Linked DNA regions of Astyanax mexicanus. The protein of the gene in region 1 purifies or fractionates together with the protein of each later gene. This does not show direct contact. Links are inferred from orthologs where the notes say so. Each region holds a gene or a part of one and is shown on either strand. Other genes may lie near its edges.

Evidence for each region. Proteins that work in one complex are often made in the same cells at the same time.
Region 2: the proteins of iars1 (region 1) and lars1b purify together in Homo sapiens (affinity purification with mass spectrometry; 7 studies listed by BioGRID and IntAct, counting the BioPlex papers as one, with this or other methods). This does not show direct contact. The link is inferred for Astyanax mexicanus from reciprocal best matches to the Homo sapiens genes IARS1 and LARS1.

The regions. Positions count from the first base shown.
Region 1 is NC_064431.1:13,417,330-13,424,462, reverse strand, and holds the start of iars1 (isoleucine--tRNA ligase, cytoplasmic), read right to left. Parts: upstream 3,039-7,133; 5' UTR 3,020-3,038; intron 818-3,019; exon of another isoform or gene 739-817; intron 1-738. UniProt on the Homo sapiens protein: Catalyzes the specific attachment of an amino acid to its cognate tRNA in a 2 step reaction: the amino acid (AA) is first activated by ATP to form AA-AMP and then transferred to the acceptor end of the tRNA.
Region 2 is NC_064424.1:21,486,637-21,493,731, forward strand, and holds the start of lars1b (leucine--tRNA ligase, cytoplasmic), read right to left. Parts: upstream 3,085-7,095; 5' UTR 2,975-3,084; coding exon 2,969-2,974; intron 1,674-2,968; coding exon 1,552-1,673; intron 1,470-1,551; coding exon 1,382-1,469; intron 1,261-1,381; coding exon 1,180-1,260; intron 1-1,179. Other genes in the region: rbm27 (RNA-binding protein 27), read left to right, coding at 4,483-4,541. UniProt on the Homo sapiens protein: Aminoacyl-tRNA synthetase that catalyzes the specific attachment of leucine to its cognate tRNA (tRNA(Leu)).

The sequences.
Region 1 (7,133 bases):
TTTACACAAACTTCACATTTCACTTACTGAGACTCTCATATTCTACACACTTCACTTACTGAGACTCTCATATTCTACACACTTCACTTACTGAGACTCACATACTTTCTACACATTCACTTACTGACACTCACATTTTTACACACTTTACTTACTGAGAATCACATATTATCTACACACTTCACCTACTGAGACTCACATACTTTACACACACTTCACTTACTAAGACTCACACACTCTCTACACACTTCACTTACTGAGACTCACATACTCTCTACACACTTCACTTACTGAGACTCACATACTTTTTATAAACTTTACCTGAGACTCACACACTCTCTACACACTTCACTTCCTGAGACTCACATACTCTCTACACACTTCACTTCCTGAGACTCACATACTCTCTACACACTTCACTTACTGAGACTCGCACATTCTACACTTCACTTACTGAGACTCACACACTCTCAACACACTTCGATTACTGAGACTCAATCACTCTCTACACACTTCACTTACTGACTCACACATTCTACACTTCACTTACTAAGACTCTCACCCTCTCTACACACCTCACTTACAGGGACTCACTCTCTACACACTTCACTTACTGAGACTCACATCCTCTACACACTCCGGTATGAACAGTGTGATAAGTGGGGTTATGCAGGTGTTAGTAGGTGTAATATGAGGGTTATAAAGGAGTACAGGTAACAGGTAAAGGTAAACACACACCGCGGTGTTTTGGACTGCAGGACTCGCACGCGCTGCTCCTCACCGGCCGCTGCAGAAGGAGCCCTAATACGGAAATGATGCAACTAAGCGGCAAGCACGAGCGGACGTCATAACGCGGAGCAGATTTTTTCAAAATAAAAGTCCCAATATACACGTGATTAAAAAAAGTGTATTTGTTTACATATAACAATAACAACAGGGGTTGGGCGTTTTTAATCCCCTTAGTATTTGGTATAAAGAGTTTGATAATATAAAGAAATATAAACATTTCTAACTGTCAAGCTCCACTACATAGTTCATAGTTATAAAGCCATTGTATTTTAAACATTTGCAGCAATACATTTTACATTCTATATATATATATATATATATATATATATATATATATATATATATATATATATATATATATATATATATGTATAATGTGTCCTCATGCTATTAGCCGCTATTGAGCTATTTTTAATGTTTTTGCTATTTCTGTATTAAAACTCATCCCTGTTATTTTCAGTCCTGTTACACAAAACATACAAAGTAACAGGAATGAGTGTCAGTAACAGGAGTAAATTCCAGTAACAGGAATAATTGCCATTAACAGTAATTTTTTGTTTGGCATAAATATAAATTAGTTGAACACGCAGTCAACCATTTCTTAAGAGAAAATTCAAGGAATTAGTGGACTTGCATTTAAACATGCTTTTTAAATGTTTAACCTACACATTATAAACCTTGTAAAACAAATAAATAAAGCTCCCTGAGTTTGACCAGTACATGTTTTGAATAGTTAAATATATGTTATTAGTTTCGGAGTTGTAAAAATGAAAAAAGATTACGTTTAATTTGGAAGAGTTAAAAGAAGCAAATCGCACCAATTGAGTAAAATGGCCCATATATGGAGTATATATTTCTAACAGACAGGCCCAGTTAATTTTAAAGAAAATAAACTCACTAAATATCCATTTAAAAAACTAGTATGGCCTGCTAAAGCTAAGATTACACTAGTTGATTAGCTTAGCTTTTGACCAGTAATAGGTATGTATTGTGATGGGTTTGATTGTTTAGCTGATCAACAAGCATGTTAAAAGTGACCAAGCCAGACAATCAAGCATTTAAGCAGAGATTACACTGACACTTCTCTTTTCAGTACAGGAGGTTATGTCATTTATTTGCAGCTATATTAGTGTATTAGTTTGTTTTGGAGAAATTCAAAAGCAGAAGTGAAAGGCTCTGATGTAAACCAGTGTTCACTCCAGTGTGTGAAGGTTACTGGAGGGGGAGGGGGGCTTTTACATCTCTCTGGAGGAATTTTGGCTCCACTATTCTTTACAGAATTATTTTAATTCAGCCACATTAGAGGGTTTTCCAACATGAACCACCTGTTTATGATCATCCACAGCATCTCAAGTAGACTTTAACTAGACTTCTCCAAAATCTTAATTTTGTTTTTTAAGCCTTTTAGAGGTGGACTTGTTTGTGTGCTTTGGATCATTGTCCTGCCGCAGAACCCAAGTACAGCTGAGCTTGAGGTCACAAACAGATGGCTGGACATTCTACTTTAGGATTTTCTTGTAAACAGCAGAATTACTACCACCACCATGTTTTACATTTAGTATGAGAATCTTCTTCCAAAATCATGATATATTTTTTGTCAGACCTGCATTTCTTTAAAAGTTGTTCTGGGTTTTTTGTGACCTCCTGGATAAGTTGTCCATGCTCCTTTGGAATAATTTTGGTCGGCCCGAATCCTGGGAGGGTTCACCAGTGGTTCCATGTTTTCTCTATTTGTGAGTAATAGCTCTCACTGTGGTCGGTTGTAGTCTCAAAGCTTTAGAAAGGACTTTGTAATCATTTCTAAACTGACAGATGTCAGTGACTTTGTTTTCTCATATGTTTTTCTTTTATGTTTATTTATTTTGATTGCAGCATAATCTGTTGCTTTTTGAGATATTTTAGCTGTTTCATGTTGTCAGACAGGTTCTAATTAAGTGATTTTTATTCTACAGGTCTGGCAGTAATCAAGCCTGGTTGTGGTTAAGTGTGATTAATCATAGTTAATCTATGGGGGGCAAACACTTTTTCACAAATAGTTTTTGTCCCTTAAAAAATGAAATTATTATTTAAAAAGTTATTTTTATATTTACTCTTGTTAAATTTGTCTAATATTAAACGATAATACTTTCCAACAGCAGTTGGACAAACGTAAGTTTAGGAGTTATAAGGCATACCTATCTTAAAAAGCTAGACTTCCTTCTTAAAAAATAAAACATTCTAGATAACTTACCAATGATAAGCTGTCCAAAAACAGTGTATGTTTAGGTCTTGCTTGTCTTCCCTGCCACAACTGACGCTTTTTGCCCGGGTTTGGATTGAAGTGCTTGCCGCAAATCCACAGTATGGTCTTCTTTATGGTGAGAATCCAATCAGTGACAGTGTGTTAAGCTTAAATAGTGCACAACAATAGAAACAGAATTGGATAAGCATCACTTCTAGCACACCCAAAAGAATTCTCGTGAGAAAATCTTGTTCTACTACTTGAATCTCGTTCTACTGGTGAGCCACATCATGCCACAAGTGCATTGTGCACTGCTGGATAATTTGATTATCATCATTTGGTTTTAAGGCTCCCAGCTAATGCAGTGACAGAAGAGCCCCACCCCAAGGCACGGTCTTGAATTAGCAGCCTTGATTCATGCTGTGCCTTCAGGATTTACTGTCCTGAACAGAATAAATATTTACATTATTTACAGTTGAATATCTTTTCTTAGCGGAAGTAAACCCCATAATTTTCACTTTGTATTAACTTGGGCTTGAAAGTTGCATTTGTGTGTTATTTAGGCAAGTAAGCATGAGTCTTCTATTGTGCTAATGGAAAATGTATATTTTATAATAGGACCAATGTATGATCAATTTAAATGGATTTAGGAGGCTTGGAAACATGTGTGCTATCAGGGATGTCACTCCTGCTTTAAATTGTTGTGGCAAAATAAAAATTACCATTGAAAAGCAAGAAAATAGTCTCCTTAGAATAAACTTGTACAAAAACCATTAAAGACCCACTAAAGCCACTTTTCTAAACCATATTTTTTCCATAAATAGCTAAAATGTGTCCCTTTAAGTAATATAACATAATTTTTATGAACATTTCCTAACCTTTAAAAAACGCTTTTTATGGTGGTCATTTTCACCTCTGCAGTGTCCTCTCAGGTTCAATTGTGCTATAGGTGAGGATAATGTTTCCCTCTACTTTGGTATGCAAAAACATCACAATCATCCTTATGTCTATCCTTATGGGTCCTCACCGCTATCAGAGGCACACTGCTGCTGCTGCAGCTCAGCCAATCAGCTCTTCCTCCTGCTCTGCCTCTAAACCCATACATCACTCAATGCCCATCCAAAATTAGCCCTCCCATTTTTTTAGCCTTTTGAGGTGAGGGTGAAGTCAGCAAAAATCAGGGGCTTTAACACCTCTATGACCACCATAGCAACCAGCACCATAATGACTGGTAATGAGTACCATAGCAAGCCACCGAGAAACACAATAGCACCCACTTAGCAACACCTTTCCAATCATCTAAAGTACTATAGCACCCACCCTTACAGGTAACACTCACTTAACAACACAAGCAACATACCAAACACCACAAAAGTCACAAAATTAAACCACAAATGGACACATCCAGGCAGATCGCCGGACATCTCTACACATGTAAGAGACAGAGAGAGAGAGAGAGAGAGAAAAGAGGGGGAGGAAAGAAAAAGGGATTGGGTTGACTATGGATGGACACCTCGAGGCAGCAGCTCAGGACATTAGGAGGTTTATGTTTGGAGTGTGAGCTGTAAGAGGAATAGTGAGAGGGACGACAACAGTAATGACTTACTTCTTGTAATCAGAGAAATTACAGGACAGTAATAGTATGGCTGCAGGCTATAGAGAACCATTATGCTACGAGTGCTCCAGCGGGCTAAGTGCTGTCACTATGATCAGGAGATTGCTGGTTTGAATCCTGTTCATGTAGCTTGACATCAGCTACCGGAGCCCCGAGAGAGAACAATTGGCCTTGCTATCTCTGGGTGGGTAGATGGCGCTCTCTCCCCATATTACTTCAAAGGGTGATGTCTGCAGCATGAGGCGTCTGTGAGCTGATGTATCAGAACCAAGTCGCTGTGCTTTCGTGCTGTGATGCTATTTGGCAATGCTGCATCAGCAGCAGTTCAAAAAGAATTTACATGTGTCGGTAGAGGCTTGTGTTAGTCTTTAACCTCCTGGTGTTTTGGCATCACTTGTAATAGGAGGAATCCTAATGCGTGGGTTGGGTTATTGGCCATGTGAATTGGGGAGAAAATGGGGGAAAAAAAATAGACAAAAACCATTAAAGACCCACTAAAGCCACTTTTCTAAACCATATTTTTTCCATAAATAGCTAAAATGTGTCCCTTTAAGTAATATAACATAATTTTTATGAACATTTCCTAACCTTTAAAAAACGCTTTTTATGGTGGTCATTTTCACCTCTGCAGTGTCCTCTCAGGTTCAATTGTGCTATAGGTGAGGATAATGTTTCCCTCTACTTTGGTATGCAAAAACATCACAATCATCCTTATGTCTATCCTTATGGGTCCTCACCACTATCAGAGGCACACTGCTGCTGCTGCAGCTCAGCCAATCAGCTCTTCCTCCTGCTCTGCCTCTAAACCCATACATCACTCAATGCCCATCCAAAATTAGCCCTCCCATTTTTTTAGCCTTTTGAGGTGAGGGTGAAGTCAGCAAAAATCAGGGGCTTTAACACCTCTATGACCACCATAGCAACCAGCACCATAATGACTGGTAATGAGTACCATAGCAAGCCACCGAGAAATACAATAGCACCCACTTAGCAACACCTTTCCAATCATCTAAAGTACTATAGCACCCACCCTTACAGGTAACACTCACTTAACAACACAAGCAACATACCAAACACCACAAAAGTCACAAAATTAAACCACAAATGGACACATCCAGGCAGATCGCCGGACATCTCTACACATGTAAGAGACAGAGAGAGAGAGAGAAAAGAGGGGGAGGAAAGAAAAAGGGATTGGGTTGACTATGGATGGACACCTCGAGGCAGCAGCTCAGGACATTAGGAGGTTTATGTTTGGAGTGTGAGCTGTAAGAGGAATAGTGAGAGGGACGACAACAGTAATGACTTACTTCTTGTAATCAGAGAAATTACAGGACAGTAATAGTATGGCTGCAGGCTATAGAGAACCATTATGCTACGAGTGCTCCAGCGGGCTAAGTGCTGTCACTATGATCAGGAGATTGCTGGTTTGAATCCTGTTCATGTAGCTTGACATCAGCTACCGGAGCCCCGAGAGAGAACAATTGGCCTTGCTATCTCTGGGTGGGTAGATGGCGCTCTCTCCCCATATTACTTCAAAGGGTGATGTCTGCAGCATGAGGCGTCTGTGAGCTGATGTATCAGAACCAAGTCGCTGTGCTTTCGTGCTGTGATGCTATTTGGCAATGCTGCATCAGCAGCAGTTCAAAAAGAATTCACATGTGTCGGTAGAGGCTTGTGTTAGTCTTTAACCTCCTGGTGTTTTGGCATCACTTGTAATAGGAGGAATCCTAATGCGTGGGTTGGGTTATTGGCCATGTGAATTGGGGAGAAAATGGGGGAAAAAAAATAGAGAACCATTATGATGAGAAATTATCCAAAAGAGAAATGTTTTAAGTCTAAATTTAAAGACTGAGAGTATGTCTGAATCCTGTATATTAGTTGATCCAAAGTTAAAGTGCTTTATAAATGAAAGCTCTTCCTACTGCATATAGTTTTATGCACCTTACCAATGTCACAGCATCCTCTAAGCAATAGCTTAAATATCATCGTAACCACCATAGTAACCATCTGGGACACCATTAAAACCCTGTGATGAACCATATCAACCTTATAGCAGCCCCCAAGAAACATTTTAGCCACATCATACCATTCACTTAGCATAATCTAAATACCATACCACCACCTGAAAGACAGTATGCAAACACCCTAGCAACCACCAATGAACACATTAGTAAAACTATAACACTCACTGAGCAACAACTATACAAAAAAAAACACATCTGTGACATATCAACTTATCAACTAATTAACCTCCTGGGACACCGAAGAACCTTAAGGGCCATTCCACCAAATGGGTGCCATTTGCTTGTTGTAACTCTTTCAAATAGTGTTTTTTTTTTGGACTCTGATTCTAATAACACATATATTTAACTATTCAAAACATAGACTGATCAAACACAGGCAGCTTTAATTATTTTTTTTACAAGGTTCCTAATCTGAAGATGGTTACATTGTTCTCAGTCCTGTTACCAAAACTCATGTGACATTTTAAAAGCATGTTTAAAA
Region 2 (7,095 bases), on another chromosome or scaffold:
TATCTCTATATATCCAGGATTAAAGCAAAATAAATTATACTGGACAGATATAACCTGTCTCTAGTAGATATATAATGGGAAATGAGAACAGTGTGCATTTTTGTTTTGCTAAAAACAGCAAAAAAGGTAGTTCCCTGATCAGGGTTCTTTCTCCAGTTTTAAAGTCAAATTTAATGCGTTTTAAGATCTTTTTAAGACCCCAATAAATATAATTTAATGCCCAAAAATGTAGTCATAACTTCTTAAGTAGAAAATAAATTCTTATATTGAAAATTAAAACGTAACATTTGCCATTTGTTATAAATTTTCTTTTTCAATTTTGTTTGATTGTGCTGTAGAACATGTTAGCATGTTTGCTAACTCACCCCTGATGTTAGCTAGCTCTCCGCTAACCCTAGTTTTCTCCCCAGTAACAAAGCTAACTCCCCGCTAACGTTAGTATGTTATCTAGCTCGTCGCTAATGTTAACTCTGCTAACCTTAGTTCTCTCCCCGTTAAGGTTAATGTTAGCTAGATCTACGCTAATGTTAGCTAGCTTTACGCTAGCTTTCCTCTCCAGTAACATTAGCTAGCTCTCAGCTAACCTTATTTCTCTCTCCAGTAACTCACCGGTAATGTTAGTATGTGCTTTCCCACTGGCATTAAATGCACCATCTAAAAATGTATACCTAAAGCAAATTTACAGTAACTTAAGACAATTTAAGACCTTAATTATTAAGATTTTAATTTAATACATTTTAAGATTTTTTTTAAGGACCCGTGGGAACCCTGCTGATGTGATAATTAGGGGTGAGTGATTTGATAGGATATTTCAGGGTATAATATCGTTCACGACATTCAAAAATATGACACACCCCTAGATGTAATGGTATTATTATGCCATAATGTTATCATAACATGAATGATATCGATAACATAATGTATTGTAATAGATTCAAGGACCATATATTGTCTGCAAAAATTAGTTATTTTGACTGGCCTAAACGAAACCGAAACTTTTACCTCAGAAAGTATGTTCTGTATAAGACACTATTTGCACTTAGAAAATCAACATCACATGTAATCTGACAAGGGGTGCACAACAATTTTCACAAGACTGAGTGAACATACATATACACACACACACACACACACATTTATTTTTTAAAAACACTTTAAAGACGGATGGCCCCCACTTACTTTGATGGGCATTCCTGTGCAGTGCAGTCCGAATGGGAACAAGCATCGCTTTCCTTTCAAACGCTGGTACCCCATCGAAAACTACAGAAATCACATTGTATTAAACGTCAGCCATTAAGGATAACATACATTTGCACACATTTACATTAAAAGATTCATCATCAAACTTTTGTTCTATAGTATAACTGGCCAGCAGACTTACCTCACACTTGGAAAGGCAGAACGTGTGGCCCAGATGCAGCCTCCCATTCATGTAGGGGTAAGGGAAGGTAACAAAGTACTTGTTTTTACTGTAAAACAAAGAACAAAAAAAAGATTATTGATCATATTTTAGACTATATTTTCTCAATAAAACAAGCAAACCAAACTCACTTCTTAATCTCCTCAGCTGTGGTCAGCGCATCACACTCAAAGGCCTTTTCCTTCTCCCATTTCTGCTGGATATCCTGCTCAATCTTCCTCAAGAAGTCGAGCTTTGCTGTTCCTTTTCTTTCCTGGAGTGATCAATAAACACAAAATGTAGATGAAGAAGCCCAAAAGAGACAACTGATTCCGCCAATATAAATTATAAAAATGTGTTTGTGACATTTAAATACCCACTATTAAATACTTAGTCATAAAAAGAAAAAGTGTGATTCACAGATCTATGTTGTGATTAATCAGAATTTTTTTTATTCATTGACAGCTCTAATATTTATATCTACGAAAAAGAATCTGAAATACAGCAAGGCTTATTTCAGCAAGTCTCAAGCCTAGCAGATTTCAAATGAAAAAAAATAGAAAAAAATTAAGATGAACAAACTATTATGTGTACAAATATAATACAATAAAAAATGGGTAGAGGTTAAATTAATGTGTTAGTAAATTGTGAAAAATATTTATAACAAACTTAATATTAAGATTACATTTTATTGTCTTAGAAATTAGATTAGTCATATTATTATCATACTATTGTCATTAAGCGAACATTTAAGGATTTTCCTTAAGAAAGCCCTTACATAACAATTAAGGTACTTTTTCCTTAAAAAGACGCCCATCTTTAAGGGAATGTTCAGGGCAATCTTAAAGGAAAACACTAAGCTAGATGTTTTATGCAACCGGCCACCGGGGTGTTGTGTAGAGTTATTCTACCCATCGATGCGTGCACTGCGCATGCGCTGAACTACACTTTAAAATTATTTATCGTGTTTTTTTATTAAAGTTAATGAATCTGTTACAAAATATTACAAAATTGTAATAACCTCTCTTTGCCATAACTTCACAATGATACAGTAATTTATGCTATCCAAATATACTAGCTAGCTAGCTAGCTACATATAGTATGACTTATACTGGAAAGATGCTGTAATATAGTGTTTCTTTTGTGCTTTTCCAGTTAAATATACACTATGGAAGCACGGTTTGACAAGGTAGCACAATTCGACAGAACACCGGTCACTGCTCTGTGAGTGACAGCTGTAGCTTCTCTCTTTAGCTGAAAGCAATAAACAGGCTTCTTTCACAAATAATAAAACACAGTTAAAAGACAACTGACCTAACTTAGCTAAGAAACATTTAAACACTTGTAACATAACATTCAGAACAGCAATAAATAGAGTTGATCAGAAATGAAACACTGATACAAAGTTAGCACAGAAGCTATTTAGCTAGCTAGGTTAACAGCTAGCTTTAGGGTTACTCTTAGCATGAGAGTTGATTAGGATGACTTCGAGGTTCAGCTTTCACTGTAGCAGAAGGTACAGAGTGTATTTACAGTTTTTCATGTGTGTACAGAAAACGCCAGACCTACCGTCATCCTGCTCTTTAATGTAGGAACAACTTTTCACTGCACAATCAGACTGGAGACCCACGCCGCCGCCGGCTCCTGCACAGAGCTGATGACACCTTCAGCAAGAGACCGCTGAGCACTGAGCATTCTGGGAAGTGTAGTTCTACTCATGGCCACGTGAAGAAGTTACGCACAGCAGTAGGTTAACCTACGTCCACCAGCGCAGAAACGACACACTGGAGCCCCTAACTGTAAACTGTGATAATATGGGGTCATAATAAACGTGATTTAAAGCTGTTTATTAAAGGTGTCAGTTTGTAAACATTAACTGTTTAAGCGCAGCCTTGCAGCATGTTTATGGTTTCAACAGTGGTTTCCAATTAGTGACGGAAAGTTTGAATCACTGAATCGATTCTTTCGACGTTCGCCCGCTTTAACGAATCTAAGTATTTGCAACAGTCTATGATTTGCAAGAAATACAGCTCTGGAAAAAAGTGACCACTTAAGTTTCTGAATCAGTCTTTCTGATTTTGCTATTTATATGTATACGTTTGAGTACAATGAACATTGTAGTTTTATTCTATAAACTACGGACAACATTTCTCCCAAATTCCAACTAAAAATATTGTCATTTAGAGCATTTATTTGTAGAAAATGAGAAATGGCTGAAATAACAAAAAAGATGTAGAGCTTTCAGACCTTAAATAATGCAAAAAATAAATAAATAAATATCATATTAAAAAGTTTTAAGCGTTCAGAAATCAATATTTGTCAGAATAACCCTGTTTTTTTATGTTTTCATGCATCTTGGCGTGTTCTCCTCCACCAGTCTTACACACTGCTTTTGGATAACTTTATGCCACTCCTGGTGCAAAAAATCAAGCAGTTCAGCTTGGTTTTGTGGCTTGTGATCATCCATCTTCCTCTTAATTATATATTTCAGAGGTTTTCAATTTTTGTAAAATCAAGTGGTCACTTTTTTATTTATTTTTTTTATTAAAATATTATTGTCATTTTAGGACCATATTATGCCACTGACCTAATCAGTATAATAATGCATTTGCACATTTTTTTTTCAAATAATGACAGTTTAACCATTAAGAATATTTAGACAATTTAAATAAAATATATTAATGTAATACAACGTAAATAATGTGCAACATTAAGGTCAGAAAATACTTTTTTATGTCTATATAAAATACGGTAAGATGTTAAAACGTATTCTACTTATTGTGACAGATTCAGTTGCTTGAAAATGCTAGAAAATAGCTTTGTCAAAGTAAAACTATGAATCGTCTTGAAAAGAATCGGATCAGTAAAGCTGATTCGTTGGTTTGTGAGTCGGACCTCGCTGTTTCCAGTGTGTTTGAACCAATGAGTCTATTGGTTTGAACGGAGCTAGTGCAGTTCGTCAGACGGTCGAGTGATTAAGAGGAGGCCCATGTTGAATTAACGTTATTTCTGTAGAGGATGAAAGTAGGAATAGCGCTGACAAAAAACCCACGTCTAGTCAGTGTTGTTCGGTGCTCGGCACGATGATTATAGATAATGTGGACGCTCTGAAGTCATGGCTGGCTAAACTCCTCGAGCCGATGTAAGTGAGCACTGGGAATGACATTTTTAGCATAGCCTAGCCTAGCTTCCACTTGCTAGCGCTTTCGCTCGTTAGCTTGATAGTTAGTTAGCTAGCCTGAAGCGGGCTATGTTAGTTAGCTAACACACACACTTGTATGTTTTAGCGCTTATTTATTAGTCTGTACTGACATTCGCTTTTAAAGCGAGATTGTAAAAACCCTGAATAACTGTTTTCATGGCCCACAGTGTGTCACTTTCTGCACTTTTCAGTAGCCTGAAGCTAGCTTACCCAGCTAAGCTAAGCTAAGCTAGCCCATAGACTGTACTGTTGATATCCAGGCAGCAGCGCGAGGGGTCCCACTCTGGCTAGGCCAAGAGAGGGCCAAATGAGCAGGTCCTTTAGTTAGTTTGTGAAATTAAATAATTTGGGCGAATCTTTTTTTTCCTAAATGCTGGAGCCCAGAAACATTTGCCTAAATGGTAGAATGCCACTAGAACGGTGTTATTCAGATTTTGGCTGAATTGTGGAATGGAGCCCAGGAATATTTATGTAATATGTGCGTTGCAAATATATTTGGCTAATAAAACTCAGTTACATGCACAAACTTTTGGCTAGCTAAATGGAGGGATACACAATATTTTTGGTTATTGAAGATGTGTCCAAAAGCTTTTGGCAAATTGTTCTAGTTCAGAAACGTTTCGTTAAATGGTTAAATAGCATTAGAACTGTGGTAAATAGCCTAATGTTGGTGTCCAAGAAAAATTGGCTAATTGGTCAAATAAAGCACAAGAACATTTGAAAAATATGCTGCCTGCAGGTATATTTGGCTAAAAGAACTATGTCCACAAACTTTTGGCTAGGTAAATGGAAGAATACACAATACTGTTGGTGGTTATTGGAGATGTTGTCAAAAGCCATTGTTCAGAATAATTTGGTTAAATGGTGAGAGACAGAGCTCTGTCCACAAGCTTTTCTTTTACTCAATACTGACGTCCAGAAACATTTGGCTTAATGGTAAATTAGCATTACGGTGGTAACTGTTGTAACTAGCTTGTTAAGCTTTTGGCTAAATGTTGGTATCCAAAATATATTGGCTCAATGTTACATTTGCAAAATATTTGGCCTTCAGAAATATTTGGCTTATAGAGCTATGTCCACAAACCTTTGGCTAGCTAAATGGTGGAATACATTACATATTGTTAATGGCGATGTGTCCACAAGCTTTTGGCAAATTGAGTCTAGAAACATTTGGCTAAATGGTAAAATACCATTAGAAATGTGTTTATAAGATTTTGGCTAAATGGTGGATTGGAGCCCAAAAACATTTGCATAATATGTGGACTACAGATAGCTTGGCTAAAAGAGCTATGTCCACAAACCTTTGGCTAGCTAAATGGTGGAATGCATAAAATATGGTTAATGAAGATGTGGCCTCAAGCTTTTTGACAAATTGTTTAAGTCCAGAAGCTTTTGGTAAAATGTTGGAACGCAAGAATTTTTTCAAACATTTGGCTAAATGGTTTAATGCCATTAGAACTGTTATTTAGATTTTGTCTGAACTGTAAAATGGAGACCAGGAATATTGGTATAATATGTGGACTGCAGATATATTTGGCTAATAGAGCTATGTCCACACACTTGGCTAGCTAAATGGTGGAATACATTACATATTGTTAATGGCGATGTGTCCACAAGCTTTTGGCAAATTGAGTCTAGAAACAATTGACTCAATGGTAAAATACCATTAGAAATGTGTTTATTAGATTTTGGCTAAATGGTGGATTGGAGCCCAAGAACATTTGCATACTATGGACTACAGATATGCTTGGCTAAAAGAGCTATGTCCACAAACCTTTGGCTAAATTGTGGAATGCACTATATTTGTTAATATTAATAGAGATGTGGCAAGTCCAGAAGCTTTTAACGCGTTTAATGTTGAAATACAACAACCTTTGCATACATTTGGCTAAATAGTCAAATTCAGATATGTTTGGTTGGTGGAGGTCTGTCCACAAACATTTGCCTGAAAGTCCAAAACCATTCCAAACATCAAGTTTTGGCAGTGCTGGTATACAAAGTTTGAATGGTAAAATGCAGATTTTCTAACAAACAAAGTTTTGTCCACCAGTATTTGTTTTTATTTTTTATTTTCATTGTGCAAAACATTGGCCAAATAAGGTAACTAGTTGGTCCAAAAGCTGCTCAGACATTCATTTTGAGGAACGCTGAAAAAGAAGGCTGTGCATGTTCTCTCAGTTGGAGTGTGGGGAAAAATAGTGATGATTTTACAAAAAAAAAAAAAAAAACATTTGACTGAATGATGTAATGCATATATTTTGACCAATACAGCTGTGTCCACAAGCGTTTGGTTAAATGTTGGAATACAATAACCTTTGCATACATTTGGCTAAATGGTATGTGTAATGCTGTTTATTCCTGTGGAAGTTCTTACAAGAATCGTAAATCGTTAGATCATAAATCATAAACCTAAGCTGTCATCTTTAAAATTGCAATGGATTTACTGTTTGTAGCTCAGAAAGTGTGGAATGTAATAAAAAAAAGCCCACTGGTT